Linked DNA regions of Oreochromis niloticus. The protein of the gene in region 2 purifies or fractionates together with the protein of the main gene of each other region. This does not show direct contact. Links are inferred from orthologs where the notes say so. Each region holds a gene or a part of one and is shown on either strand. Other genes may lie near its edges. The genes, in order: atp2a1 and pln2.

Evidence for each region.
Region 1: the proteins of pln2 (region 2) and atp2a1 purify together in Homo sapiens (affinity purification with western blotting, with the first as the bait; 3 studies listed by BioGRID). This does not show direct contact. The link is inferred for Oreochromis niloticus from reciprocal best matches to the Homo sapiens genes PLN and ATP2A1.

The regions. Positions count from the first base shown.
Region 1 is NC_031969.2:13,939,615-13,956,026, reverse strand, and holds the start of atp2a1 (sarcoplasmic/endoplasmic reticulum calcium ATPase 1), read right to left. Parts: upstream 6,891-16,412; 5' UTR 6,730-6,890; intron 6,638-6,729; 5' UTR 6,619-6,637; coding exon 6,501-6,618; intron 5,515-6,500; coding exon 5,497-5,514; intron 5,047-5,496; coding exon 4,964-5,046; intron 1,763-4,963; coding exon 1,658-1,762; intron 1-1,657. UniProt on the Homo sapiens protein: Key regulator of striated muscle performance by acting as the major Ca(2+) ATPase responsible for the reuptake of cytosolic Ca(2+) into the sarcoplasmic reticulum.
Region 2 is NC_031986.2:13,219,419-13,236,050, forward strand, and holds pln2 (cardiac phospholamban), read right to left. Parts: upstream 9,124-16,632; 5' UTR 8,964-9,123; intron 3,799-8,963; 5' UTR 3,648-3,798; coding exon 3,486-3,647; 3' UTR 1,836-3,485; downstream 1-1,835. UniProt on the Homo sapiens protein: Reversibly inhibits the activity of ATP2A2/SERCA2 in cardiac sarcoplasmic reticulum by decreasing the apparent affinity of the ATPase for Ca(2+).

The DNA.
Region 1 (16,412 bases), on a different chromosome or scaffold from region 2:
ATACTATTTTATGCCATTTAAACTGTGTTATCGCATTTTTTATAGATAAAACTTAAGAAACTGGAATGTATGATGTGTGATGTGACTGGCTGCTAGTAATAAAGTGGGAGTTAAAAATTGGTTCAGCTCTTGAGGTAGGTGCATAACAAAATAAAAAAAATCATCCCTGAAAATGGTCACGTACAAGGACAGGACTGAAAATTAGTGGAAAAGCAAAACAAATTTCAAAGAAAAAATTTCAAAGACCTTCGAAAGCACGGAGAACTATTGCTTTATAACATTTTAAGAAAGTCTGGCATCTTAGAAGCAAAATATAAATGAGAGGTACCTCTAAAGGTCGGTAAAAATAAGCGAATGAATTAAAAAAATATCCTGTATTTTCTGATTTTATATTGATTTTATATACGTTCCTAAAGCAAAAGTTGTCTTTGTTGCCTCTGTTGTAGTCCCACATTTTCAGCCCTGGTTTTCCTGTTTCCTGTGCTTGTTATTAAAAGAAACTCACACAGGCGTCAGTGAATTCAAACCCAGAACCTTTTTGGCATGAGGTTACAGTGCTAACTACTGCACCACTGAGCCATAATAAATATTAATTAATATCACTCTATGTTGTAATGTTTGAGGGCAGAATGCACGGATTTTGTTTTATTCCAGGAAAACATACTTATACAAACTAATAAAAGCTATTTTAGCCCTTTTTTCATAGTTTCTTTAAACACCCAGAGTTGCTGTGGCAGATAATCATCAGGCACTGTCATTAGAAATGAGGGATAAGGTTGCTGATACCAGTGACTGACTGATGCGCATGATGTTTGAAGCCATTGTTTTCCATTATCATGAGGCTTTCCTGATGTCTGTATTTAATTAAAGTCCATCAGCTTAAATAATCTAATTTAAAGAGAGGTTGTGCAACCATAATTTTGCAGGACTTGTGCTGCAGCAGGTTGAAGTCCTTAAATTAAAAGCTCACAGTCGTTTCTTGTTCATCATGTTGAATTATTTCCCAGTAAAAGCAGGCGGCACAGAGAAGTCAGACAGCTTGATGTCCGCTTCAGTCTGTGGTTTCTTCCAAGGCTGCCCTCGACCGCCTCAAAGTGTAAAGCCCAACTTATGCCAGCTGCCCTCCCTCTCTCCATTCTCCTCCTCATCCCCCATGTGTGAATCCTTGTGCATAGTTTCCAAATGACTGCCGCAGGGTTGATATGAACCTCTCAACCACACACGCACAAAACGCAAGCCTGCGGTAACGTGATCGTCCCTCTGTATTTTTACTGAGGATCGCAAAGTGTGGATTGTAACGAAGCAGTTTGAACCTTCAAGGCAGGAACGGGACCCGGTCCGTCACCTCCCTCCACGCGCCCTGCTGGCTTAACCTTTCACCTTTTCACCTCCTGTTTACGTCATGCCTCTCTTTCTGGCTTTGCTTGATCTTTGAGATCTAAGGAGCGTGTGTGCTCTCTGTAAAGGACACAAGGCCTGAGCAGGCCGCCGATGTGCGTGATTTATTGGGCGTGACTGTTTCTAAGTATAAGAGTCTATTTAGGTGTGTGTATGTGGGGAAAAGACAGTATTCAGGAGCAGGTATGCGGCCTTGGGGTTGCAGTTGTTTCTGTATGTGTGTGTGTGTGTGTGTGTGTATTCATGCGCGCTCACTGACCTGCCACACTCCAACAACAGCATTCGCGATGAGGATGAGGAGGATGACAAAGGGCTCAACAAAGGCAGTCACAGTTTCTTCTCCTTCCTCAAACCAAGCCAGCACCTGAGACAGTCACACACAGACAGAGTCCAAAGTTGAAAAAGTTGTTGTTTAAAATTTGATGATGAGACACTTAAGTTGTCAAAATGAAACCCTTAAGATTCAATTTTTGATGAAAGTTTGTTACTAAAAAACCAAAAAACCCTAAAACTTCCTTGTGGAACAGTTGGCTAGCAGATCTTACACTCAAAATCCAGGGATCACGTTGGTAGAATAGTAAACTCTCATAATTGACCATTTTTACTTAATAAATTACTTAAATGAATCTATTTTCATTTTTTTTGTTGGTTTTTCATCCCTAATCGATTCACCCTGTAGTTCCAAATCCCAGCCTCTTTAATTCTTTTTTCCTCTCTTAGTTAATATTGAAATTCATGGAAAGCAAATGTAATCCAATTCATGTCCTTAACACTGCAGTGAAGCCTTGTTATGTCTACACAATCAATTAACTGAGCTGGTAATCATTTAAGTCAGTGATAAAACAGTAAATGACAGGGTTAACAGATTTTTTCTGATTCAGGCAAAAAAAAAAAAAAAAAAAGATAATAAATAAAATAAAAATGATGACTTCAGATATCACACACTGTGGGAAAATTCAGTTATTAAATTGAATTTCAATTTTTTTGAAATTCCTCCGATTTTTAGGTAAATATTATTATATTATAATTTCTAAGAAAATATAATAACATTCAATTTAATTACAAGGGAATTACACCCTTAGTCATTGGCCACATTATAATGTGTTACCAAAAATACACAATATCTGTAAAAAAAAAAAAAACTCTAAGAGGTCCATTTTTCTTTTACAGAGGTGCCGTTCATCTTAAATACTACACATGCAAGAAACATTGTCAGGTTATTTAAAGGGATTTTTGCTTTATGTCACTGCTAGCTTGTCATGAGCGCTCCACTGCTGGGTTTGGTGATTTAATGTACCGACACTTTCCTCTCGAGTTAAAATTATACATTGTTACTATCGCTAAGCCCGTGATACAAAAGTGTCTTTACGTTTGTTGTGCACCTGTCGCTCAGGGTGAGAGTATTATCTTTTACTGCTGAGTAGCATAAAACATAAACATATATTTGTCACGGCTCTGAGCTATTTCTGCACCGCTGTAGGATCAAATGACATTTCTCTTTGTCACTGTTGTGCTGTATGATATTCTATGTATGAAATCCTCCCCATGTGACTTTTTTCTAAACCAATATTCGTGCACGTGTGCGCCCCTGTGAGCAGGAGCTACACGTTACTGATGCTGGTGTGTTTCGGAAAGGCCTCGTGTTGACACTGACACAGATTAGTTGCAGGCCACCGGAGCATGGACCCAAGTGGAGAGAAAAGAGTAAAGTCCTCCCATCCTTCCTTTATAGCATTTAGCATTTAGCTCAGCATCACAGTCTTCCTTGTTTTCCATTCGCCTGCTTTTCATCTCACATCTTTTCTCACCCCTTTTTAAAAAAAAATAGGCTTGATTGCTTGCTCTCTCCAGTCTGTCTTCACTGTGCTTCTCTTCAAAGACACAATCGATCTCCAGACTGAGCGTCAGGGCCTGTCAACACCTTGCAGTGGTCGAGCATTCCTGTGTGTATGAATAGGATGACCATGTATTTGCAGTATTTAGTGTTCTCTCTTTTAGAAACCATATATGACTCTGAATCTATTGCGCTCATTTGTCATTGTAACAGACAATGCCATTGTGCAACCCAATCCCCAGCCCCCCCCGCCCTCTTCGCTGTCTCTCACTCTCTCCTGCTGCTGCAAGCAATCCCTCGTTCCTTCCATCCCTGACCTTTGTCTAAGGATATAGTTTCTCGTCCTGGCTTGAGACTTTCTTAAAATAAAGGTCCTGCCATGCACATGCACTGCCACTCTCTTTTCGTCTTTCTCTTGTTCTCTCGCTATTTCACACGCAGCACGTCAGGCCTTCTAAGGCTATAGTGACAGCTGTAGAGGGAGCCCTGAGGGGAGCAATCGAAGATTAAAACAATGTGAAGAACCTAGTCGCCTTCATAAAACTGCACTGGCGAGAGCAACAAGGAGGGGAGAGGGATTCCTGGTGTCAATGAGAGTGGCACTAAAGGTAATCTAATAACGTGATGATGTGCATGATGTTTTGTCAGCTGAAGTGTGTGTCTGTGTTTGGTAAAGAGTCAAAAGAGATGCAGCTCCAGATCCCAGACAAGCCCCCAATTATGTAAGAACAAGGTTGATAAACCGTAACATAAAATCAAGACTTAAAAGGCAACAAATTGGGGGTGTTTAACTTCAGTTGCCACATATTCTGAAGTTTAAATCAGAGGTAGAGTCTAAAAATCATCTACATGAGCAGGGTTAGCTCTAGCTTCAAACCCCCCCCCCCACCCCCCGTTAACATCTTGATATAACTCTGTGATACATTCAGCCCTGGTAATCGAGAGAAAATGTACCTTAAGCATTGCTACAGTGCTAAACTATGTTTCTCACAGTTTAAAGGAAATATGCCCACAAATCTGGCAGAGTTCAAGAATGTTTCAGGCCTTCTCAGGTGTGAGCACCAAACTGAGACCCTTGCACTTTTACTGTACGGCTTCTGGGAACTGCAGACCGGTGAAACACAACTCACCACTGACAACTGCTGCTGCAGGACAACGAATGTAAATTGCTAACTAGACTTTCTAACTGCTCAACCTCAGCTTAATCCTAAATAACCCATCAAACGTGTGATCTGAAAGATATCTAAAAGTTGATTTTCTTGGAGAAAATGTTCATATTTGAGGTAAATTGGAAAGTTATGCAAAAGAGTGAAAAGAAAAGTAATTAGACACATGATGTCTGAAATACAGGAAGAGATTAGAGAATCTACTACATGTGGTGTCCATCACTGAAATAGCAAACACAACTTTTACATGCACTGCTGAGAAAATGTCCTTTTCCTTCATTCATTGTGGTGGCTAGTCTTCCTCTGCTTGAAACATTATGTTATTTTCTGCTTTTTCCATTTACTTTTGAATGGATCTGGTGATAGTAAATGTAAGACAGGGATGGAAGGGGCACCTCTACACAAATAGAAAAATATATATTTTCACTACAAGATGATGAAGAATGAAGAAGAAATTTTTGAACGTGAGCAAGCTCTGTGCATTGAACACTTCATGAATATTACATAAGTAGGTGCTTTGCATTGGATAAATGGATGGTCGAATGCTTTGCATCATGAAACTCACAAAAGAGATGCAGGCTGCCAGTAGAAGGATTCTGACCAACAGGTCCTCAAACTGCTCCACCACCAACTCCCAGATACTTTTGCCTGATAAACACATTCAAATAAATAGACATAGCCCATCTATTAAATCAAATTCAATGTTGATACAGTGTTAAGAATTCCTGTGATTATACATGTAAGACTGATGAACAAACCGGGTTAAATGGAAAAGGCAGTGACTGTGATTTAGGTGAAAACACATATTTGATTAATGATGATTGTTTGTTTTAATATCCTCCCACCACTTTGGGCTGCTCCAAAACCAGCAGCAAAGACTGTTGCTGCTTTAGTTTGAGTTCAATGCACAACCGATGTGGACACAATCCATTAGTTTCTCGAGCAGTGTGTGGTGTAGATACATCATTACCATACTGGAGTCAGTAACAAGTGGTAAACACACACGCAAGGGAGCAGTCATGACAGGAAGTGAGAGGAACAGCTGTACAGGGATGTTAAAGGAAGCTTGCAGGTGTGTAATGTTTCGGGTTGGCTCACCTTCCTCTGCTGGCAGCTCTGTTGGTGATGAGAGACAGAGAACATTAGTAAAGCACACCACTTACTACATTCGTTCTGATATTTGCAGAGTGAAACATGCAGCCAGGTCAATCGATTTGACCGTAAAACCATCGAGTACAAAATACACAGTATAAAGGAAGCATTACATTGCACAATTTACACTTTCTTCACCAAACTGAGGCCCTGCTCCAATAAACAGTAACACTTTACTCCAAATTGCATTCTCAAAAAACATGATTCCTCTTCATTTTACTGAATTAAGGACTTTTTTTCCCAGTGAATTAAATGTGAAGCAGAGGTAGGAATATTCATGATTTTCCAGTTCCGGTTATTTGAACCCTTAAGCCAAGCAGTAATGTGGGTACATTTACATTCATGCCTACGCTTTCCCTGCTGTGATAAGCAAGAAAAAAAGAGGCCTCTGATGCTTTCTTTATAAAGCTCAATGAGACTGCAACTCAGCAAACTCCATCTGCCGAGACAAAAGTAAATATGTTGACCTTGAGTCAACATATTTGACTGTCGTGCGCTCAGTTTCAAAATACAAATAAATTACCCCCAATCTAAACTAAAACCAGTAGCAGTTGTCAGGAACTTGACACCCTGAGGCACCTGCTCCACAAACATAACTCCTGCTTTGTGTCAGTCGGATAGTTTCCCTTAATTAGACCAGCATCACAAAGTCACACACGGCTTTGAAACCGACACTGCCGCTACTTGTCCTCCTTCACCTTCCCCTCCCATTTCCCTCAGTGTCTCTGCTCCTGCCATTTTATCTTGTTAACCTCCGAGGCACCCCGTACATATGCCGCCTCTCATTCAAGCTAAATCTGATGCATGTACTCCTTCTCCTGGACCTCCCCATCATGTCATTCACCATCATTTTCTACTGCTCTTTCTTTCCACTCTGCATCAAAAGCTTCATCTAAGTGCTCCATCCATGCATCCATCAGGCCATCCATCCATCTTTTTGTTTCCCTCACCATTGTAGCCATACTTTTCCAGGCACTTCTTAACCTGCTCAGGTGACAGGCCGGTGTCTTCAGTGACGCCAAAGTAGGCCAGAACGTCTTCCGACTCTTTGGTGTGTGCGTTCTCCATCCTTACTTAAACGGAGAGGCTTCGAGACAAAAGGGATAGAAAAAAAATGGAGAGAAATTACAGCTGGCCAAACACTGAAACGTAAAACAAATGATGCGGCATTCTACCCACCACTTTCTTGAAGAGTGGGATTAGGATTAAAAACTGGCAACTCCCTGTGCGTTCACACTTGCTCTCACTTTGCCCCCTCTCTCTCTCTCTCTCTCTCTCTCTGGGCTGTTGCTCTCCTCTCGGAGCCCTGGACCGACAGAAAGTGCAACCCTGCAAACTGTCCTGAAAAGTTTTATAGCGATGAAAAAGTTGCCCCATTGGTGCTTGTCCACCATGCACCCCCCTCTCATTGGATGAGAACGTCACAAATAGGTGGGCAGGGATGGCCCCCGTGGTAAAGAATAGGCAGGGGGAGGGAGGGGGAGAGGTGGAGGGGGTAGAGGGCAGCAACTGCAGAGGGGTCCCAGCATGCTGGAAATAAGATGTGCATAAGAGAACATGCATGGTTAGCATGGAGAGGCAACATAAAGACTGTCTGAATGGACACTGGTGGGCACGTGTGTGTCCACATGTCTGTAGACACACGTGGACAAAGAAACGTAAAAGACACTGAGAGATGTCGACTTTTCAGGCATATTTCGAGTACCTGATTTTTAAGCAGTTCCCAACCTTCAGATTTGGACTGCTTGGAGGCCCCTTGACTTGTTTCATGTGTTTTGAAAATTTTCATCTTCTTAAACTTCTCAGATGAGAAATTATTAAGTGGAGGACATGAGACTGAAAACCAAAATTGAATGGTCATGCATCCCACCCTTCAAATAAACCCCACATCAGTGTGATGTGTGATCCAGGCACATGTACGTCTTCTACCAGCACAAGATCACCTAAAGCATCCAAATATCCAGTGGTTTGATGAATCAGAATCTTAGGTTGCTGATGGATATTTCAAAGTTCATGTTCTGTGTTAATACTGAGGTGCACCTGTTGATACATTTCATTAAATATTTCATCAATTGTGGCTTTTCAATATGCCTGCTCTGCACTATTTTCAATTAAATATAAGTTTTTATACAGTTTGGTAATCAATATATTTTTTATCACCATTTTACACTGCCAACTTTTTTTTAAACTGGGCTGGATAATAAAGTTAAACCATGTGTTTATGGAGAGTGTCACCTTTTCTTTTGCTTTTACCTCTGTAAGGTGATCTAGGTGTGATTGAAGTGAAGACTTTCAACTTTAATTCAAGGGTTTTAACAAAATAAAACATTTACTGAGGAGTCATGGCCACTTTGGTACACAGTACACAGTATACTATTATCAAAGGCTCAAAGGAAACTCCGCAAAGTAATATAGTTTTAAATATAAGGTCATCTAAAATATCTTAGTGCTTATTCCACTGGACCTGTTTACTATCAAGTTATCCATATATCAAAAGAAGATATATGGATAACTTTTCTGATAATAAGTATTATTAATTGGTAATACACACACACACACACACACACACACACACACACACACATATATTTTCTTTTTTTGCATAGTACTGTTGTTACAGTGCCAAAATGCATGAACGATCATTAAATAGTAAATTACATGCTTCATTAATTAATTAAAATTGGAAATGAATAAATATTTATTAAAACACAAAATTAAAATAACATTTTAATGAATTAAAATGTTTTACATGAAATGAACTGATATTTTATTAATTGTGTATATATTTAACTATTTTTTCCAATTGTAATTAACTGATGATACATTTAATTAATTATTTAATCATATGTTTATTTCATTTTGCCAGTTGTGACTCTTTGTAGATTATAGATTATACTGCTTCTATTTATTCTATTTAACTCTATTAATTTTTCTGTTGTAATAATATGAATTTTAAAAATGTGGGACTAATAAAGGTTATCTTGTCTTGAGCAGTTATGACAACTCACGTGCAGCAATTTGAAGAAACACTCCTTGAATGCAGTGGAGATTAATACTTTTTCAATAAAACAAATGTACTTGTGGACTGACTCAGAAAGCAGATGAATGACTTTTATAGTTTTATGATGAATTTCCATCCATCCATCCATCCATCCATCCATCCATCCATCAATCCATCCAAGTGCTTTTCCAATTCAGAGTTGCAGGGGGTGCTGGAGCCTATCCCAGCTGTTATAGGGCGAGAGCTGGGATACACCCTAGGCAGCACGGCAGTCTATTACAGGTGACTCCTCTTTGTATTTTTAAACCTATTGTAATGTTTCACTATGTATCACCCCATTCTCCACCTTCCCTCTTGTCATGTTACAGCACTCCGAACCTCAGAGCACAACACAGGGGCTTGCAAGTTTTTGGTTTGTGTGTGAGGTCAGAAATTGTCATTCTAGGGGGGGCAGGTGCCATATTTGAGTCCAGTACTCAGTTCTTATAATACATCCACGGTCCCAACTGGTCTGGTCTCGGTTACCTTGTCGTCACATATATCACATGACAAAGCAACAGGTGTGAAAATGCATGTGCATGCCCATGCTGAAAACATAATGCACGGCCAAGTGTAAACAGACGGGAACCCTGCTGGGACCTGTTATCAGCTGCAAATTGACTTACAAGTCTTTAAAACCAGCAACGGCAAAAAAAGGTTATGGCAATTAGAGGCTGCAGAAATAACCTGTTAACACACCGCGGGCTTCATGTTTCTTTTTAGGCCGATACGACCAGGCTTTTATCAAAAAGGTTGCTTCTGTGTTTCAAGACACCTGATATGGTAGAAAATTCCCTACATACTGTACTATTACATATTATTACACCACCTGCACATGAGTAATAATCACTTCATGAATGTCAGACTGAAAGATGCTCTGTGTTTGTCTCAACCACCTGTAAAGGGAACGTTTTTTCTCTTTCTTTGATAAATATGAAGATTTGGCCCTATTTACGGCCTTTTGTTTGCATAAAGTAAAAGAACTACCAAACACAAACAAACACAGTCGGGATACATCAGTGTATAAGCTATGGTTCAATGTGCTATGAATCCCGTTTGTCCGTTATGGTCTCCCACACTGGCTGTATTCGCACCTCTGTAAGAAAGAGCACTCCATGTTCTAAGAAAGATTTGTCCTCTGGTTCTCAGGCTGAAGGTCATTAACAACTATATCCATACAAATGCTTAAATAAACGCACACTAGATTCAGATTAGCTTTTATTCACAGTGCATTATTTATGTATTTATTATTTATTAGTGCTGTGCAGCACTTTGGTTAATGTCTGCAGTGTTTAAATGTGCTATAGAAATAAAGTGACTGGACCAAATTTGATCTATTTGGGCTTTTTGAAGTTTTTAGGGGAGAATAACTGACCGATGCTTCTGAAAATGAAAGTGTACAGTTAAGTTGAACAGCTACAGCTCAACAATAAGATGAATGGTCATTTTTCTATTTTAAAGTCCAACATTCATAACTATGAAAATCCAAGAACTAAATAAAAATATCATTTAGGTTTAAGTTTACAGATCATACTTTCATCTGAGTAGCAAAATGAGATGTTTTTGACACGTGCAGAGGAGGGAGAGTGGACATGCTGGATAAGAGATGCTGAACATGGAGCTGCCAAGCAGGAGGAAAAGAGGAAGATCACAGAGAAGATACACAGATGTAGTGAAGGAGGACGCGCAGAGGGTTGGTGTGCCTGAGGAGGATGCTAGGGATAGGGTGAGCTGGAGGCAGTGACGCGACCCTTAAAGGAAGCAGCCAGAAGAAGAAGCAGAAGACATTCAGCGGACTGTAATGAAATTACATGCTTGTAATTTATATGGTCAGAAATGAAGGATTCACACATTAATGCTGTTTAAAACCCTCTTATAAAATGTTTCACAGGTTTAAAAAAACATGTAGATACTTGTTGTTATATAATAACATCTTCTTAGTCTTAAGATAACAAAGGTCATTTTTGTGAACTCAGATGTGGCCACCCACTCTCATAAGTCATACTTATACAATACTCCCCTACTTCCTCTTAACTCTTATCTCTCTAATCTTTACCATCTTTTTTCTTTTTCTAACCCTACATTTACATTCAGTCTTGCTTCTGTCTATCTCCGTCTCCCCTGCAGGCTGCGGTCTGTGTTGGAAACCCTCCTTTGTGTGCTTCACTTGTAACCCTCGATGCTGTCGTGGGCCCGGCTGTAGCAGTGCAAAGCTCAAGGTGGCTCACTGACATTTAGCTCAATCTCCCCCAGGGATCAGATTACTGCGCCTCGATCTAAACACTGTGCTCTAATACTAATAAAACACAGCAGTGATAATGCTGCACCGCCTGCGGAGAGGCACACACACGCTCTTGTGTGATCTTGAACAATGAGAATGGGATTTCTAGAAGACACTTTTAAGATCATTACGTGGAAAGAATGATTAGGCGTGTATCATGCGTGTAAAATCATTTGAGCCGGCTGTGTTTGTGATGAGATTTTAATTAGAAAGAACACTTTTACTGCAGAGACAGATTACGCAATTTGTCGAGCTATTTTTGGATAACGACTCAACTTGATTACACAAGCGCAGCTCAGTGGTGTAAATGTAAAATACAAGCTTTTCTTCCTATTATTCTTTTTAAATATAAATAATCTGCATTTTCTTTCCAGCGCTGAACAATAAGATTTACTTTGGTTGACTTCACACTTTCAAGGTGCAAGCACTCACGGGGTTCAGTGTCACGACTGTTGACTTAAGGAAATTTAAGTCCCGCAGCATCACGGACAAACAGGAGGGGCACAGTTCTTCTAAAACAGGATGTCCTTCACTGTCGACCCCTCGGTGCTCCATAGTCTTAAAAATCTCACCCCGAGACCTCTGCTGTTATCACATTTAGCTAAAACAACATTTTAAATATGAAGGTAGTCAAAATGTAAGAGTATAATGATAAAATGCACATTATATTAATTTAGTAAAAGTCTGCAAATCATGTTACGAGTATCTGTGATAAAGAAATATAATCAAATCCTCATGTTTGATGCGTTAGACGCAGCATATTTGATTCGAGTGCTGTACACCCTGGTGCTAAAGTCATTGTTCAGTGATTCGCAGTTCATACAATATCACAAATATACTGCATTAACACACACTTTGATGCAGAAAACTTCAGAGTGGCTCAAATACCAATTGGCGGGTTGATGGTTCACTCCCCATCTCCTCTGGTCAGTATGTTAAAGTATCCTTGGACAATATACAATTTCCCCTGATTGTGTGTGTGTGAAAGTTAGATAAGATGTATGAAAGTGTGTGTGATTGAGTTTTTGAGAGGTGTGATAAAAAGTGCTTTGAATTCTTTTTAAAAAATTTCATTTTCTCATTTTTCTCTCTTAAACGTCTGTTTTATTAGCTTGTTTGTTTGTCCTTTCACCTGAAACAGTTACGTGTTTAATGATTTGTAGCTGGGACCGGGTACAGTTTAAGTCGTGATGTAACAAGTGTGTGTGAGAGCTCGTTGGCAGGCGGCTCGGTGTGGGAGATGGGCACGTCAGGGCTGCCTGCCTGCATGTGGCTGCTCATCACCATGATAGATCCAGGAAGCACCAGGAAGGGAGGATGATGAGGGCCAAAAGTAGCAGCAGCAGCAGAGTGTTGTGCGTTTGTGTGTGTAGGTACTGCATCATATTATTAGCTGAGGAAGGGCAGCTGTGGTTTGAAGTGCCTCACTGTAACTGTACCTATAGCAGCAGTTGTGCTGGTCGGGTATAAATAGTGCAGTGGGCATGTGGGCAGGCGGCTGTGACACAATGGCAGAAATTCGGTGTTCTTTCGGGGAGATTTGAGAATGTGACACCCTGCAAGCGAAGATCCCCCGCTCTAGATGCGACACTGGAGCTTGAAGGTTGACTCAAGGTGGAGATGAGCGTGAAGCACTTTTTCATGCATTATGTTATTAAATTATTCTGGTAATATTCACTCTTACACCTGTGTAGAAATGGAGATGATGAAAGAAACGAAGCAAAACAAACACAGCAGTGCTGCCTAAAGAACACAAAACGTAACACCTTTTATAGCACAGTAATTGGGGATCTAAAATAGTTTTTCTTTATGTGTTACACACATAACAAGTCGTTCTCACACAGCTATGGAAGCTTTTTTCCACCACTGAAAAAAACATCACATCCAATTTTGGGTTATTATCTCAAAATTTGAAATTGCTAACAAAAACCTCCAACAAAGAACCCAAATCTGAAACAATAACTTGAAATTGTGAGACATTGAGGAGAAATTTTAATTTTGATGTATGAACAAAAGGCCTGAAAGTGACAGACATCTTAAAAAACATCAGATATCTTGAAAAGTGTTTGATGTATGAAGCTATAATAACTGAAACCAGCCCACTGAATGAACAATGGGCTGTGAGGTCAGTTCCTTGATCATTAATATGCAAATTCTCATGACCATTGAGCATGCATCAAGACACATGAAGCTAAAATTCCACAGCATTCATGATATATGTTTAAACTTTATCATTTTGGACCAAATTCTTATGTAAATTGGAAATGTTTGAGCAGGTACTTCATGCTGATTCGATTTTTTCTCCAGTGGCAGAAACAAGCATCCATACACAGGATTTTAGGACTTTAACCCCACTTTCCCAGGTGAATCCCTCTGTAATTCATTGCACTACTCCAAGTCTCAATTTTTGTATCTTCACCAGTGTTGGTCAAGTTACTTGAAAAAAGTAATCAGTAACTAATTACTGATTACTTCCCCAAAAAGTAATCCCGTTACTTTACTTATTACTTATTTTCAAAAGTAATTAATTACTTAGTTACTTTTTAAAAACACGATTTACAACCTGAATAGGTAATAAAGTGATAGATCTTTCAGCCCAATTCTACTTTTTCTGCATAATCCATCATACAAAATGTGATCAAATGGAAATGTCTCTTTTTAAAACTTGTTTTATTAGTTTTAATCTTTTAACTTTATGCATCAAGCAAAAATTTAATTATATGCAACATTCTCTGACTGGAAGAAATTTGTTTAACATTTAAACCTATTTCCTGCACATTCCAGCACAGCAGAAAATAAATAAAATCAAAGACTCAGCGGTCCTGTTGCTCTATTTTCACCTGTATAGCAGGCGGATGTTTGCCCTGGTGCAGGTGTGCCGCAGCGGTCAGTGGAAGAATCCGCGAGTTTGTGAATTTCCCATTCCGTGGTAGCGCACTCAGTGCTTGCTTGGAAGTTAAGGGGTTTTTTTTCGCAGTGAACAGCGGACGCTAATGTTTTTGTCACTTTTTACGGAATCAAACTCAAAGTAAGGTCAGTACTTCCACGCTTTAAACGCTCTCCGCACTCGATATATTATCCATTGTTGATGTGCACACAGCTGTTGCCACGAACGTCGCATTCGCTTACGTCATTGTCATGAGACACTTGCAAAAAAATCACGGTTTTAGTTACGCAGTAACGCAGCGTGCTTACGGGAAAGTAACAGTAATCTAATTACCTTTTTTGCAGTAGTAATCCCTTACCCTACTCGTTACTTGAAAAAAGTAATCGGATTACAGTAACGCGTTACTGCCCATTCCTGATCTTCACTCATTTTACTTTTTTCTGCATGTGGAGTGAGGTGACCTGTTAGTTCGGGAGCCCTGTTTGCTGTATGATAAGAGTTACACTTTACGATCTTTGGACTGAGGCACAAAACTAGAGACATATTAATGCTATTGGTACTTTTGTAAAATTAAAATAAAGACAACAACAGACACAATGTTGATCTATTTTTTTAAGCTACTTCAGCTAAATAAACCAATAACTTGCCCCTCCAAGGCATCGCTAATTTGACCTAAAATGATACTTCTTTAATTTTTCTTTTGGGCCAAACAGTAATCCCGGAGCAGCTGGTCAACGCTTTGTCCAAATTCAAACCAAACATGGATATTATTTATAAGACCGACTGCTGTATCCCAGTTCATGAGTGTGAATTTGCTTCGAACTCCTGCCATCTCAATAATCTCTCGCCTGAAACCTCCGTGTTCTCTGTTTCACCAGTCTGTGATTCCTCCCCTCTCCTGCATCCACTTCCTAACTCCTCTGCCACGTGCCCCGAAACCTGTCCCTGGAAGTAAATCAGCATCAGGCGCTCTCTTAACTGAGTGTGTCGCCGAGAACATAAAGTGTGGACGCCCTCCAGGCTCTCGTGTTGCTCTCTTATGTCACCAAATCTCTGAGTGAGCCCCTCGTCCTCCCTCCTCTTTGGTCCAAGGACAGAAAGAGCCACTTCCTCCTCAGAAGATCTGTTTGGACTTTGCAGTGAAGCCACATAAACACACGCACACACAACCAAGATCTGGTTGTGATTTGTTTACAGAGGTGACTCCACTCTTGCATTAGATTTATGGCATCAATTAATAGCTCAGTAGCAGCTACTGCTCTGCTTGTATTACACTTTCAAATCTCCATGACTTATGATTTGATGCATCTTCTTAGGGAGCGTGTCAGCTTGTTTACAACAAATGTAAATTTGATTAAGTCAGAACGGGCAGTGATGCTCTCAGATAACTACAGGATAGTCCATCAGCTCCTCAATCACACAGGGCGATGCCTTCACTTTGAAGAGAAGCGCTGTTCACACTTACAGTCTTATTTTAAAATGTAATCAAGATGCCTGGGATTTTCAGCATAACGGGGCTGTAACACTGAGGTGGCGTTTTTATTAAGCAGTTTTCCCTGTGAAAGTAAGAAAGTGCACTTTCCCCCATGAAGATGACCTCCTCTGTGATTTTAGTGGCGATTTTTGACGACTTTTAGCTGATTTAACCACCATTTGAATAGTTTCTGGGTTTTCCTAAGGGTGGCTGCATAGGCAGAGGACACCCTCACTAACTGATGGAAACCCAGTCATCCTGTTCAATAAGCAGGCCTGAAATAAGACAAAAAACAATAAGAAAAGAGCTTAAAGGGTTATCCCAGACTGATCAATAGTTTCTGAAAAGTGCATAATCAATTAATTACATCATGATTTTGCCTTCATGTTAAAAAAAACAAAGGAAGATATTATAATGAAAAAGTGTAGTGAAGCAAAAAAGTGGGGAAAAATAAATAAATAAATAACCTATAGAACTGCTTTCTAATTCCCAGTTAATAACAAAGAAATGTTTATCAAATTACTGCTGTTATCATTTTCTTTAATGAGTATGAAGACTTTAAATATTATATCTTAATTTGTGTTTTTTCTACCAGAAGAAGAGAAGAATTTTCTGAATGGACCTCGGAGCTGTGACTTCAGCTCACGCTGCAACAAACAGAAAATGCTTATGCTAATGAGACAATGAGCACATGTGCCCATTGTGTGCCCCCGTGCTCAGCGGTGCATCACCCCGTTGGAGCAGTTTGACATTCTTGGAGCTTGGGAGTATATTTAACCCTGTGGCTCCCCTGCCAGGATGGCCCCTCCATATACGGCCCTGAGCGCGGGCAGGCCGAGAATGTCTGTGTGCAAAGGGTTGGAGGAACGGCGGCGATGACAGGGTGATGGATGAGATTTGAGCAAAGATGGAGGGAGCCTGCTGTGAAGGAGCCGAGAAGGAGAGTGAGGACAACAGAGCACGGCGATGTACAGAGTTTAACACTCTATGCTCATTTTTTATTGAATACCTGTGGCAGACTCATTGTTTCTGCAGAAACAGGGAGAAAGCCACTACACTGAAGAGTCCTGCTATTTTTTTATTTAATAAAAAATAATAGAATGCACAGACCGCACATTACATGCACTCCCTTAACTATTAAACAAAGACAATCCTGAAAAATGTGTGAAAGAAGCTGTTT
Region 2 (16,632 bases):
GTGGAGATCATTCAGCAGTTTCACCGGGTCCATTAAGTGGTATTTCTGGAGCTCTCAGACGTGTTCATAGAGATGAATCCAGAACTAAATGGGCATTATGGTGAGACTGATTAATTTTAATGAATGAACATATGGTACGGTCCTTTAAGTTTAATGTTATTTAGTGGTTTGGCATAACCTAAAGGGATTATTTATTTATTTATTGCTGTTTTGTTTTTAGATTCAACATTATATCCATGTATTTGGTTTTGTCATTAAATGTACTATTTATTTTGTACGTTTTTTGTATATGTTCATATATTACTTTATTGAGTTGATGTTTTAATTTGTTCTTACATGTCCTGCCTCTTCCATTACACATTTTCTTGGCTAATATAAGATATAGTCTTTAAAATTTTAGCTTTTCAAAATGAATTGGGATTTCTTGGTAATATCAAGCAGCCATTGGAGACCCATAGAAACTGCAGAATCTGCAGAGAAATTGAAGTAAGTCTGACATCGGTCCAGTTACAGGTAAATACAACAAATGTGTTGCAGTTTGTAACAACTGAATTAAAAAGTAAATTAATGTCTCCCCTGTAATCTGTCACCTAATGATGTCTGTCTTGTCATTTTTTTTGAAGTAAAAAATATATACCAGTAATAATAATAACAATATTTATTTATATTTATATTAATTTCTGTTGTATGTTACAAAACAGTAAAATTATGATTGTGAGATAAAAAGCTGTTGTTGTGCAATTCTTCTTGTAAGATTTGTGTTGAATCTACATCCGAGTATTGATGGTACTTTCTTTGTACTCTGCACATATCTGAACTTGCAGTATTTGAGGATTTTGAAATACACAATTGGATATTGCCAGTTTCTTAAATGTGATATTACAAATATTTGTCTTTTCTGTTTCTATAAATAAGAAAAAGTAATTTAGATCCAAATGAACCCTCATATTTTGTAAGCCACCAAATGAGGAACTTACCTTGGCTAGCTGCTAGCATACACTGTATGCTAGGTTAGAAGAAGTTGGGGACAACTGCTCTTTACTTTGTTACTTACTTAAACATGTCTTTTTATATATGTTTAAGACTGCAAAGCATTTTTTCAGTTGTCTTTTAACCTACATAAGTAGATTTTTAAATGTGAACACTGGGGTAGACACCTTTTGAGAGTCCTGGGGTTTTTTTCAGTGGCCGTGACAAAAGCTAGCAAATTTTGTTGCTAACACTATGCTCAAAACAACTGTTGGGCATCTGGTGTTCAGATTTATTTTATTTTTTTGGATTGACACTACCAGTAACTATGATCCAGTTAAGACAACAAATGGTGAAACAACTAAGAGAAAACTAGTCGAAGGAGATTTTCAGAAGGCTTTTTCACCCAGGTATTTTTCAACATTACTGAAATTATTATGGAAATTATCCATCTATAACATTTAATATGTATAATCTCAATATGTTTTGGGGCTTAAAAATCAAACATTGCTTCAGATTTGCAGACTGTTTTTCACAATAATAATAATAATAATTAACTGAATAATGTAATGAGTGTTTTTAAGCATTACTGATAAATCAATGCATTTTTTCAATTTCTGAGTATTTGCTAAATAGAACATCTATAATAATTTTTTTTTTTTTTTTTTTTTTAAATAGAATTCAATTCACATTTGGGTAAATAGTCCCTTGGCTGTGGGTGGCAGTGGAGATTTCTCATATGTTCTGGTGATCACAGGTCAAGAAAAAACAAGCTCTTGAATGTAGGCAGGCGTTCAAAGGGCTGTAAAACCAAAACAGTAAGCAGTATGGACCATACGGACAGATAAAGACAAAGCATTTGTCACTTAAATCAGACACTACTTTTAATTGTTTTGACATGCAGTTTATTTGGTGTTCCACAGTTTAAAAATCAGGTGGTAGTTTTTCAAACGTACATACAAGACAACAAAAAAACAATTAATTGATACTCACCTATGTGCATCTCATTTTTTTTTTTAAACATTTTTAGTCATAGTACATTTCAAAAGCAATGACATGATTTTATAATTAGGTATTTTATTCCAGCGCCTAAAACAAAAAGTCTAGCTTGAGTAAAGAAATTGGCACTACGTGTAATCACACCATGCAAAGTGAGCTTTCTTTCACAGCTGATAGTGTATAGACTGCATGTACCTGTGAAGCACACTGTAAAGCAAACCTTTCACTGTCACTGTTAGACTGTGCTTCACACACACTCGTTAAAGGTCTGCAGTACTTAGAAACATTCCTAAGTATCATATCAAGTATGTTTATATATGTTAATTAAGAGTAAGAAACACACTGAATAAAATGGCAGACATGCTGCACCTTTGGGAGTGAGCAGACAGTGATAACAGAGCTTCAGTTGATAAATAATGCCATGGAGATTTAAGATATGTGTCAAATTTCTCAGCAGAATTGATGAAAAACAGGGTAAAAATAATTTTACATTTAAAATGATCCACCATGTCTTTTGTGATATAACCACTGGGCGGCGCCAGAGTTTGAAATTTCAATAGAATTGCAAATTTATTAATTTTTTCATCTTCTTCTCTTCTGAAGACGTCCTCAGTGAAGAAATCTGAATGTCAGTGATAGTGAAACCAGCAGGTTTACAGCTTTAGGCGACAGCAGGTTTAGCAGCGTATGTAAGTGAACTGTAGCCTCCATGATTGGGTGTATGCCCATCTGATGTAACTATGGGCCAATAAAGAGTGGCAACAACTCAAGTACTCAACGGACGTCACACATGGCAGCTTTTCTAGGGCAGCAACGTTACATTTTGAGGCACGCTCATCTCAGACTTTCTACCTGCTACCTTTTGCTAAACTTGTGTTGCTGAAAGCTTTTTTTATTTTTTTTACCAACAAGCAGTTTCAGGAAACCTCAGCGAAACCTCAGTGTTTTCCTGTGATCTGTCTGTGGTTTCTGTCAGCGGCACACCAAGAAAGACGTGAAAACGCTCATGGAAAAAAAACATTTCCAGCCTGTTTATCTTTCTGCTGTGGGGGTTGGGTTGGGGGGGGGTTTACAGGAAGTAAAGGGGGGTAGGCTTGTGGGAAATAGAAGTCAAACATTGGTGATGTATTGATATTTCAGCATCGCTGCACTTACTCGTGCTTATGCGTGCATAGCGGGAGTCGCTGTCCTCTGCAAGCGAGCACAGTGTGAATCTGAATGAGCAGCAGGAAGAGGTGAAGGTTACAAACTGCTGGAGTCGGGTCACTTTCGATCATTCCCTTGAGACACAGACAGCGCAGCTGATTCCCGATCAGCTCCCACATCACCCTTGAGCTTTGCTGTGAATTGAGAGTTTGGCCAATGCCTCCGTGATCCTTCTCCGCGCCTTGCTGGTAAACGGGGTTAAGCTGATACATGCCACTTATATTATTGCTTCTTATCCTTTTTTAAAAATATATCTGCATGTATCAGTGAAACCCTCATCTTTGCCCAAACTCTCTCTCTGCACGTGTCTCTCAGCTGCTCAGTAGGACGATGATGTAGATGAGAAGCAGGCAGATGAGGATGAGGGTGAAGTTGACGAACAGCTCCTGCAGGTTCCTCTTGGCCTGCGGGTTCACCTCGATCTGAGACGCTCGGCGAATGGCCGATTTGGTCATGTGCTGAACGCGCTCCATGAAGGCCGGTTACAGTTTGATCGGCTCGATTGGGAGACGAGGGAGTTCAGGTCAGGCTGCTGGGCCTGTTGTTGTAGAGATGGGGGGGATGGGGGGGTGTTGATCTGAAGATGAGCTCGGGTCAGGTGGCAGTCGCTTTATCTTCTCTTTTCTAGTGGCGAAATAAAAAAAGAGACTGTTAAACACATGAAAAATGGGATTTCAGAATCACCCCAGGCCCTCGTCCCCTCATGCGACCTTTCCATATCAGCACTACATAGTGTGATGATAAGACGGCTGCTCAAGAGGCGCCAGCTGAGGCCTGATGATGTGTTAAGCTGGAGTGTAGTCTGAGTGGCAGCAACACAAATGTCATGACCACAGTCCTGGGACATGTTTGTAAAGAGGGAGGAGAAAAAAGTTTCTCATGACTTTATAATATGTTTTGTCCCCCCTCTGTCATTACATCCCAATCAGCTGGGGGTCGTAGATTGTAAGCAGAGTGCGTAAGCAGGAAATAAAAGCACGTCACACAGTGCAGCTGCAGGCTCTCGACACTGGCTTAAATCCCCTTTTGTCATCTGATCTGTGACTTTCCCCAGATCAGAGGCACCGTGACAAGGTTACCGTGCTCTCGCATTAGAGGCTCCTGCACACAGCGAAAAAAAGAAAAGAAAAATCTTCCCACTTGTGCATCGGCTGTGCCAAGGTCTTTTCTATTTTTAACAAGATTAAAATCCACACAGGCGCACCCCTGCTGGGTACATTGTACATTACATCCCGCATTACAAAAAGAGGCTCAGCGATCTACACACAGCTTAGGAACCTGAGAGCTTTGCTGCTAGAAGGTGTAGGTGTTAGGGTGGTAATCCAGGAGTTTGGAGGTCCTCTGTGCAAAGTTTCAAGTTTATCCTCAGGGGGGCGCCAAAGGAAAAGTGCCCCATACTGCATATATTATGACTTACGCTTATGATACTTGAATTGCACTTTTAAACTCTAATGTGCCATTTTTATTTTTTTTTTTAAATCTTGTTTCCTCGTGTCTGTAAAAATAAAAGCAAAAAGGCAGCCATGGCTATTTTTAATCATTTCACTTTTTTCCTTCCACCCCCGTAATCTTCCTCTGAGTCACTCATTATCACTTGACATGTTGACACTTGTGCACACAGTTTCTCAGACCCCACGGGTTAACTCTCCAGCCCGCTTGATCAGACCTCACTGAAGTGGAGCGTAGCGTGGCTCTGGAAGAAGGAGGTTTGAGGGGTTTCATTTCTGGAGTAATCGACCGGTACACAGTCGTGTCTTAGCTTTGACCTGTGTGTAGAGGCGTACTGACAGAGTTCATTAATTCAGCGTATTAACCTGATTAAAGAAGAAAAAGACACTAAAATCTGCTGTTTTCATGCCAGGTGACGAGCACAGAATTGCTGATTGTGTCCTGCATGTGTCTTTCTCATCATCATCACCTGTTTTATCTCATGCCCATGTTTGACCAGCTCCTCAGGACGTACATATGCTGTTTCATCAACACAAGCAATCACTGTTACTCATAAATCCTCCAAGTCTCTGTATGTCCTCGAACAAATGCACCAAGAATGATCAGAAAGTAATCAGGCTGAACTTTTCCTCTCATCTGTTTATGATTTTTCTTCTTTTCTTCCACCCCACAGAAGCAGCCAGTGAAACTCCTCTTTCTATCAGTGTGAAGAGATTTAACTACACATTGAATCCCTGACATATATTAATATAAGAGAACGAGGAGTGGTTTCAACAGTACGTCTCTTTATCTACGTGATAAAATAATGCTGCTGTAGTAAATGAAAGAAATCTGTCTGTGCTGAGTCTGTGCTTAGACAAATCTGGTCCTCAGGCCTTATGTTTGACACCCATGATTTAGAGCGTTTGCGTTCAGTCTGGACTTTTAAACTCATTAGATTCTAAATATTTGGCTCCATGTAGAAGTAGGCTTTGACTTTATCAGCTATGGAGCTTCAGGGTGGCCTGAAAGGGACAGGCTGAAAGTCCTGTTTGGTTTGGGTCAACAGGTGGCGCTCTTTCAGCTCATTATTTGTGATTAAAGGGTTTTTATTGAGGTATTGTCTGTAAACACAACACCTCAAAATGTTTTGTATCCATGCTGGTAAAATGTTGTATGGGTGTAGAGCGGGGTCATGTCGTCCACTGAGGTCTTCAAGGTCAACTCAAAGATTTATTGGTCGAAAATTGACAAAAAGCCTTAAAACTTACTGATTCTTACAAGTCAACATATAAAAAGTACAGTATAAAGATTTAAAATGTCTTGTCACATTTGACCTCTGACCTCTTCTTCAAGGTCAGCAGATTGATCTGAAGGTCAAAGTGCTAATAATGCTAAATAGAACTATTTAAAATGACAGAAAGCTTTCAGACTGACACAACTATGCTTTTTGAGTATAGCTGACACAGGTTATAAAATACAAAACTATTTAAACACATGTGCAATCCTCACGAATAAGTATTATGTTTGTTTTTTTAAACCAAATAAACTTTTTTTTCACTTCATATTTATCACTAAAAATGTCCATTTTTACTAAACAGTAAAATGAATTTCCTCAGCTCCATCTAGTGGTCTGCAGACAAACTGTGTTTGGACTGAAGCAATCAAGAAAAATCTTTGCTTGTGCGTCTTCTGCACAGACGGTTTGTATTCTGGGCTTCCCTCTGACAGCAGCTCAAACTACACCTATAGAAATTAATATTCATCCGCCCCGGTGTTTCCCTGCCCCGCTCTGTTCCTCTCAATCATCCTGTGCCCGAGGTCATGAGCCTTCCACTTCCACTCATCCTTCTCTCCTCCTTGCTTCCTTTCTCACTTTTTATATGAGAAATTAGCATTTTTGTGCAGCTTGTAGTTTGACCTTTGAGGTGAAATTACATTCTCTCTGTATGTCAGTCTGCACACCGCGTGTCTGATAACAAGCGAGCCACCGCTGCTCGGCTTCATCCTCGGCTGGTCTGCAGCCGCATCATTATAAACTGAGCTCTGTCAGTCAGCCAGGCTGTGCTTTTCTTTCTTGTGTCTAGAGTGCAAATAATCTTCATTTCCACTGCACAAAATGAGTGAAAATGAAATGTTGACAGTAGATATAAAGCTTTCATCTTTTTTGGCCCACACAGGCACACCTACATCCTGATGCAGTGCATACATCTATTTTCTTATTTTCAGCAAGCTCTTTACTCGTCATCATTTCCTACTTTGCTTCTTAGCCTGTTTATACATCTCAAGTGGCTTAGGGCCAAATGTGTCACAGGAAACATGGTCTAGCTAACTTCACAAACACAACACCTTTATTTAGGTTGAAGCTGTGGCCTTTATTTCAGTGGTAATTTTGTAGTTTAATGGAACACATGAGCCACTGTGTCAGCCCCAAAAGGGCTACTGATTAAACCTGAGGGATTATAATATTTATTAATAAGCTCCCAGGCTTCTAAAAGTGTTGGTGATAAAGGATCATTAGCTGAATGCTATCTTGTGTCCTAACCAAAAGTCAATAATCTCAAAGCAACACCTGATGGATTCAATTTCAAATTATTCCAACAAATCAAATCAAAAGAGGAGTCTAGGTTAACTGTAATTTCCCATCTTAGCCACGTCCTTTAATATGGAGAAGGCCCCAAAAAGTAAGCAGTAGATCATTTGGGTGATATTATTTTACCTCCTGCAGTTTCAGTAAAGCGGGTTAGGAAATGAATCTATGTTTTACTTTACTGTACCATTCTGCTGCTACTTTTGAAATTTATCTAAAAGGCCTCACGCAAAAAACACAGTGCATTTAATCATTTGATTAGCTTATTTGTATTTACCGTGCAAAGCTCGAGGAGAAATCTGTTTTTATTTTTAGATTATCACCGTTAAAGTGCAGATTGCTCCTCTGGGCTGCTGAAAGGACCGCGTTGTCCTATAAACACAATCAGCTGTTGTTAGCCGTTCTTGCCAAGCGATAGATTTCTCCAGTGTGACCAACACAGAAGTGGAAAATAATGGTGCTGATGTTACTGGTAATAAAGTTTTTAGAGATGGAAATAGTTTCAAAATAAACTGAAATAAACTGAATTAATCTTCTGTTTTTCTCCTGTGAGTTTTGTCGCTGTGTGCCAGAGCGCGCAGGTACATGCACGCCACTTTCTGCCCACTCTAGAGGCTAAAGTGACACTAAAAATAAGTCATTAGCGATGCTTTTTGTCTTTGCAATCAACATCAGCACTTGCAAGAGAAGTAGCTGGTGTAATGTTAGCATTTCCTCTTAGAAAATGATTGACAGCTGTGAAGTATGTAGGTTAGACAGATGCATGGGCTTACTGATGTTGTCCTGCTACTCTAATTGGGTCATGGCTAGCTGCACCCACTCCTTGATAGCAGCTGTTGGGAGCCAATACCTCACATAAATCACTTTAAATTTGGCAGCATATATATATATATGTACAAAATTTAAGGTCTTTATCATAAATAAACATGTCTAAAAATATATACATGTGTAATATTGCATTGTATAGCATGATATAAACATAGTTTCATAGTATTAAATATAATTGATTTCTTTTTTTACCAACTGTTGTGTATTTTGCATTTGTCACATGTCAGAAAGAAAATCTTACCACCCACTTCTTTCTAGTGTTGCTTTTTTGTGCGTAACTCGCTCCATGTACTGTATCTCCTTGAGAGGTCATTGTGAAGTAAAGATACATCTAAAAGTATCTTAAAATTTTTTTCTTCTTAATATTTTTTTAATGGAAACACATCTAGAAATAGAATAAGATTATCAAATGGAGCAAAAAAAAAAAAAGAAATACAGTGAATTCTCCTGGACCACACTGGGAAATATTGTATATCGTACTGCAGCATTAAGTATTACTAAGATAGAGTTGATTTGACTCCTCAGTGCTTTTAAATAAAATCATGTGTTCGGGATAGGAATGTAAGAATCTGGGATAAGTCTTTATCCCTCTGGGAGTTTTAGCCCAGTCCCTGTTCCCCCTGCTTCTCTCTACAAAGCTGTATTTACTGTAAGTGAGCAATGACTTTATAAGAATCAGTGATTCATATCGTGCTCCTTAATATCTTAACATAAAACATCTCCTGTAACCGTTTAACTTCTGCAAGTACAAATGTCCTTTATGTCCCTAACCAGTTAAGTACCTGACTCAAATAACTCAGCTACCAATAATAATACGTTTTAATGACTCTTCTTATCACAAGATTTACCCTACTGGGCTTTTATCCTGTCTGTATCATCATTTGTCATCATCAACTCTCTGTCAGCCTTCCTACAGAGCAGCTCAGAGGATGCTGGCTCTTACCTTTCAGATGAGAAGAGAGCTGGTTGGAGTTTGAGAGAGAAATGTCAGATATGCCGTCCTCTCCAAGGCTGTAAACACAGTGAGAGATGGAGAGAGAGGGAGGGAGGGGAGAAATAAAGGAGAGAGAGAGAGAGGCAGGACATCCCAGCAAAGATTTCAGGAGAGTGGGGATACCAAATTTGTATTAGGGCTCCTGAATTATACATGCAGCCACCGGCACGTACCGCTGCATTTCAGGGTTCAAGTTTGGGTGAGAGTTCTGAAAGCTGAGATCGCGAGGTCATTCCCTCGTTTAAAACAACTCAGTCATATACGCAGACGTTACAATACTTTTTGTTTCTGGCTCTGTAATAGTTTATTATTGATGATGCAGTATTACTGTTCATTTAAGATTTTTCAGGGAAAGCATGGTAATGCTCTTAAGCTCTCTGGGCTAAATGGCTGACGTATTAGCCACACTCCTAGAGCAGATTTGTTTTCTGGGAAAATTATTTTGGGAAATGTGGAAAATTTGCCAGCTTTAGAAGGACACCAGTCCTGTTGCACTGTGCCCATCTGTGAAGAAAGAGATGCTTTATGTGTTACTGCCATGCCATCCTCACCATGCGTGCTTTCTTTATCCTTTCTTTAATGCATTAATGACGTGGCTGCTGGGAGGGGCCAAACACGTCCCTGCGATCACTTGAAATCTGGCTTCCGATCAAATACCACACCTAGACCACCCTATTGTCTTCATTATCCTGGCAGCCTGATATACACTTGGCACATGTGTTGTGCTTTTTGAACAGCTGATGACACCTCTAAATTTACAGTATACATTTGGCCATGACCACATCATTGATCCTCTGGGACCTTGAAATTGTTGAAGCAGCCACGAGAAAGTTATTTCTCTTCTATTGCTTAACTCGCTAACTCTGTGTTTCGCAGCTGGTGGAGAACAAACAGCAGATTTGTTTGCCTGGATGTGAATTTAATGTGTCACAGTAATACTTGTGAAAGCTAGTCTGCTTATCAGATCCATTCATTTTGAAGCTATTTTAAATTCGTTAGCTGTGAAGGTGGGTCTACCTGACATTGTATGAATTTCATTTAAAAAAGTATTTTTATCATTGTGTGTATGTGTGTTTGCGAAGTGTGTGAAGTCCTGGACAGCATCCTCCACTTTAGAGAAATCAGTCGAGACAAGGGTTTCAAAAAGAAGTCTGTAAAAAGTAAAAATAACCCCCCTGCTGTGGCCCAGAAAGCATTGCATCTGCCTTATAAGGGGAATCAGCATGTAAACAGGCTGTCAGTCACATACTGGGAAGTCTGCTTTGTTGATGTTGCTGGTCTCTACTCCACATGGATACACACTTCAAACAATCCGAGAACACGGGCAAGCAGATAGTTCTATCTTTTATGACAGCTGTATCTTTCCCAAACATGAAGGGGAACCTTGATCCTCCCTCTGGGAGACAGCTCCACTGTTTCAGGAACATTTGTAAATAGAAAATTAACATAATAATAAAATAATATCATATTAGCCGAGAGTCAAAAGCACAGTCAGAACTGTTCATGAAGAAGAATTTGTTGTGCACAAAATCATAAGAAAAGGACGTTTAGTAAGAAAGACTGAATTTAAATCTAAGGAGTAGTGGACGTGCTGTACTTGGGACATTATTTCCTGATGCATTCTGAAATCCAAAATTAGCCATTTATCTGGGGACTAAAAGGGTCCAGATGTTGTTGAATGTACAGATTATGAGTGTTCTTAAGAGACTGTTTTTAAGCCTGCTTGTCGTGATCCATGCAGGGTTAGTAACCTCTGAAAGTCTTTGGTTAGCCCCATTTAACCTGCAGGACTGTCTGGAGGCACCTGGGCCATCCTTTGCTACCTTGGATGAAAACTTTTGTCGACCCTGATTTCGTAACAGGGGAGAAAACTTGTCAAACAGTCAAAAATTATGACCGTCATCTCTAAAAGGCAGTCTGGAAAGTATCAGGTGGAGAAACCGGCTGCGCTGACTTCAACGGTGACGGGAAATTTTTAGAAGAGCTGATTGTTTTTTAAAGCCAGTAGCCAGATGATAATACACTGTCCAGCAGCTATGGATGGATAAACAGGGCTGGTTGTCAGAACTATAATGGTACAAAGTAATATGGAAATCAATACATTCAGTTTTCTTGGGTTATATTCGATCACTTGAGTTTTAAAAGTGTCCAAACACGTGACAGGCTATCACGTTTGGATAGACTATAGCAGTAACTCTCAAGGAATCAAGGACAGTTGAATTAACCCCTGCTAGCAACACTAAAATTGAAGCCTAAAAGGTATGTTTTCCAATAACTATGTAGTTAGAGGGATGACAGATATAGTGCAGATGGTCTTTTTAGAGTTGTTGAAGTTGCCATAAAGGTAGATTTCAAACTACTAACTAAAAATCTATCAGTAATTGCTCTAAAAAGTCAGTACTGATCTATTAGACGGACCGACTTTGGCATATGTAGGACAAAAAAGAATTTGGCATCAAGCTGATGTATTAATGTGAAATATATTTGACATATGCTAGGTATAGATTGATTTTTGGCAACAGAATATTACTGCTGATAATCAGCAGGCGGGCTTTCATTGGGCAGTGGTGAGGTGCCAGTGGCCGACTGAGGGTTAGAGCTCATTGTGTCTTTGTGTTTGTTTGATGCCAGGACTGAAGGGATAAATCTAACTCTAAGTCTGGAATGCGCAAATCATTTTCAGCTCCGAGGTGCTCTTGAGGTAGGCTCTCGCACATCTGAGAAAGCTCTTCAGCTGTGGACAGATCCAGCTCCTGCTGCACTGGACAGCCTCCAGGTGTGGAAGTGTGGGAGTGGGAACACTCCTGAAACTGGGCCCACTGCTGTCACTGGAAGTCTAAAAATAACACTCTTGGCAAAAATAATCGCTTCTCTCCTGTTATGTAAAGTCCTTTGAAAGTGATGATAAATATTTGCGTTTATCTGGTAGATTAAGTGTCTCTGCACTTAATTTTCATTGTCATCATCATGTTCTGTCTTGCCTTCATGAGCACACAGAGCCTTTATGTCCAGCTGAAAAGTAATTATAAAATCTCTTACACTAGGAAAATAGTTTCCTCCTTTTTTTTTTTTTTTTTAAATCCCTAGAGTGGTGCAGCTCTGCAGCCTTACATGGTGAAATACCAGACTGCTCTAACCCACGACTAGCAAGACAGAAAGATTCAGAGGGAAAGAAACAGCTTGACTCATATAAAGAAAACCACAGCAGGGCAGAGAAAACAGACAGAGCTGCTGCTGCTACCAGTCAGAAGTCAGAGATTTGCTCTTTTAAACAGAGACGCAAAAAGAAAATACTGCACTTTAAACTTTTGTGGTTAAACCTGTAATGAACACACCTGGCCCTTTCTCTAGCAGTCTAAGGTTTTGCACTCACTCAAAATTCTCGCTGCGCACATACAAAGAAAATATATTTGAGTAGAAGCTTTCATGTTCCCCAGAGGATGAACTTCTTGTATTATAGATTTTTTTCATAAACTGTATAATGAATTTTAATGATCTGAAGTACATCCACAGGCCCTGAGTGTTGGATCTGAATGACAGCAGCTCAAAGACAACAACAATGTATGCAAGATTTGACACTTGGCAGCCATCTTGAAATGTAACCTGGCAATTAATTATGAGATATTTTGAAGCATTTTCTAAATTAACAGTAGCATCTGTAGAATCGGTCACGGGTCTGACACATAGAGACAGACATCCATTCACACTCACGTTTGCACCTTCCAGAGATTTCAGTGGAGGTGCTTGTGGTTAAACCTGTAATGAACACACTTGTCTTTGAGCAGATCTCATCACCACTGCAGTTATTTCTGTTACGTTCTGCTAGCCACCAAAATGAAATAAAGGGCGACAGGTACGCCCATACCTTGCACTTAGGCAAAATACAGCCAGGTGGTTGGAGCTGGTCCATGGACTATTTTAATCCAGGCGAAGATCCCCTAAAAAATGGAAACAAACAATATCCAGAAGACAACAAAAAGTCAGTATTAGGCCTCAGTCACACAGGCAAGAGACTAATCCGAGACCCCCCGGTCAATATTCCCTGATTGTTTGGTAAAAGAAATTGGTGATGAAGAGGTATTTAGTGGTACCCTAAAAACCTCTTTGCAATTGCTTTAGTTGCTTGCAAATTGCTGCAGATTTGTCTGCAAGCACTTGTAAACTATTCACCGAGCAGTGGTAAAACTTCAAAAGTTGCAACTCAAACCAGAAACAGAGATTGTCCCTCTTCGGAGTACAACTTGCGCTTTTTGATTAAAGTGTTGGTTTCTGTTGTAAAGCACAACGTTTGCTTTCAAGGCTAACAGTCTCCATTTCTGGTTTGTGTCACTCTTTTCATTGTTTCACTATCACTCGGCGTCTTCCCTGCAAACTTCGGGTACCCACAGCAATCTGCCACTGATCAAAGTAATGAAAAAAAGAGGTTTTAGGTCCAGCAGCTTCTTTGAAAATTTGCTATATTAACAACTAATGATTTCACATGATAATAGTCAGCAACCCCCAACCACCACTGTCCAATACATAGGTTTACCTGCTGACCAGAGATTTCCAAGCAGTCACTGACCAGTCTGAGACCAGTCCTTGGGTCAGTAAACCTGGGCATGAATAACTACAGTGAACGTGAACAGCAGCAATGTTTGTAGGGTTATTGACGTTGGGCTAGCTGGCACACAATGGTCTGCTACCTGGTGTCTAGCTACAGAGCTATGGTTAGGATAATATAAACACATTAGCAGAGCAAAGATGGAGGACGAATGGGAAGGTTCTGAGGGGCAGAGACGAGTGGCAGGAAAAAGATGCTAAAAACAGACCAAACTTCAGTCAAGCGAACATCTGTGATGATCCATCTGTCACACCAGGTGAGTCACTAGTACATGAAAAATTCATATACCACTTGAGCTATAGGACCCAGAAGCACAGCTGATATGTCATCACTTAACGAGTGGATAGTGTCATCCAAGAGTGACCACTTCTTGATGTGCACAACAATGCTCCAGTTACTCACTCATCTCACAGCTACTTCACACATAATAACCACACATTGTTGAAAACAAGTATGTAAGTGGAATTCCTGAAATACTGCACGCAGACAGAGAGAGTGGGGCAGATCGCCAGCATTCACACGCCGTGCTCATGCAGTGGTTTGTGTGGATGTTAGTGAACATGGGAGGATGGCTGTGAAGTTTGCACTGGAACCAGGAGAAGAATTCTATAATATATCATGGATAAGTCTATAATATATACTTACATACTTCATAGAATAAGTATTGAGTAAGCATTCGCTAACAAAAGGCAGCTGTCTTTCATCATCGAGCTAATATACATGCTAACTGATTACATATTAGCAGATTTTCCTAGCATTCATTAGGCTTTCTAAACCTTCTTTGTCATTCTGTTGATAAAGTTGTCCTAATTATGCATATTGATGTATGGATGCATGCATAGATGGGCAAATAGAGGATAACAGAGGGTGAGGGCATTTTAGGGGTGAAGAGGGATGGAGGAAGGGTTTACCCCATCAGCTGTGTTTACACTGGAAGACTTAATGCTGCTGTTGGCGGCTTCACACACATTCTCTCACTCTCGCTCTTTCTTTCTTCCTCCTCTCTGTTCTCCAGATATAGCCAGCTATGCAGAGAAGCCCACAACTAGCTTCTCCCCAGAGGCCCCGTCTAAGAGCAGGCTTTATCTGATATGGGCTTCTGAGGAACAATGCTAACAACTGACACGCAGCAACAGCTCTCTTCTCCGACTCACTCTAATGACATTAACGTGTTTCTGGAGCCATGATTAGATTTCGAAAAATCACATTTAGAAACTCAGGTGGGTTAAAGAGTTTTATTGAGCATTTGCAGGCAATATATACTTGAATCCTTCGTCACCAGTGGGGCTAAATATGTGAAATGCCTTGCTTTCAATAGCGGATGATGTACACCTAAAAGATCTTGAAAGGACTGCCAAGCTCAGGTTTTAGCCAAGTTAAAATTAATCATCAATCCTTTACTGAGCAGGGTTGCAAAGCATGTCCTGGCATTTCTCACACAGCAATTTCTTCATCAGTATTCACGCTAATGCACTCAGCCTAATGTGATTACAAGACTGCTCCAATTGCACAGACCACATACACCTTGGTCTGATCTAATTTTAATGACTTGTTTGGATCTTTAATGTCTGCAATTAAGACCTGCAGTGATTTTAATATTTAAATGGCAGTGGGAGATGCACGTTTGGGTGTGTGTGCCTGTGTGTAGGTGCTGATGTCACATGTTATGTATATGAGCTGTCAGCTGAACAGCTAAAAAATGTGTCATTTATATACAGTTGATCCAGTAGTTTCTTTACATTTTAGTGGTTTTTAGGAGGTGCAGGCAACACAGTTACTGTATGTGTGACATGATCAGTCCTGACATGAAGGAAGGGAAAGCCTCTTTGAGCCTGTAGGGAAACATGTCAGCCTGAATGATCAACAAATGACACATACAGGAAAGTGATTTTTCCTGTGATACACTGATTGTGAAATTCTGAGCTAATGCCTTTTTTAGGAATTGCAATTTATCCACTGTCAATGCTAATATATTTTTCTGAGTATTTAGTATGTTTTTGTTGTTCTCTATCCCTCTCTTTGTGCCATAGAAACAAGGAAATCTTTCAGCTCTTTGTGACATCAGATAATTATTATTTATGCATCTTAATAATTAATATCTGTTGGGAAAAACTCATGTTCAGACCAAATATCTGTGGAAGTTCTGTGTGGAATTTGATACTGATGTTACAGCAGTACACTCTATGTCAGTTCTAAAGTTTTACATATCAGGACGTAATAAAACATTATCTGGTCCTTACCTTAAAATGAGATAAATACAGCCTGAGATGAACAACAACTACTGGTTCCATAGGGATTAGGAGGGTAAGCGTTAGTGAATTTCCCATAATGCATTGTGCCACATCTGGCAAATGTCAAACATAGCATATGAGCACAAACACCTCATACCAACCGTGAGCACGGTGGTGGAGGAGTGATGATTTGGGCTTGGACACCCTGCAGTCATTGAGTTGACGACGAACTCATGTGAATACCAAATATTCTAGAGTCAAACTGAGATCATCTGTTCAACAAACAAAGCTTGGTCAAAACTGAGTCATGCAACAGGACAGTGATACCAAGCACAGCAGCAAATCTACAATGAAAAAAAGGAAAAGAATGAAGGTAAAGTCCAGACCTCAACCCAGTTGAAACGCCGTGTGTGACGTTGAGAGAGCTCAATGAACTGAAGCAACAACGTAAAGAAGAGTCTGCTGAAAGTTAAAGACCTGGTAAGAACTAACTAATGTTTTGTGTCTTGATATGTAAAACCTTAGAGGTTGGATTATTTTTTCCCCCATTAATGATATTTTATATTTTACTCATTTTTTTAACTATATGTTTATATATTTAAACTCTAAGTTTAACTCTGAGTTCTTGGCTGGCAAAGTTTAATCTCTTAGCTGCCTTTCTTAAAGAGTAATTTTACTCATGGCCTTATAGGCTTATGCCAGCGGGTGTATTAGTGTAGCACATGTCCCACAGTTAAACATGTGTGTCCTTGCAGAGGCTTGTGTTCAACCCCACCCTGAACCA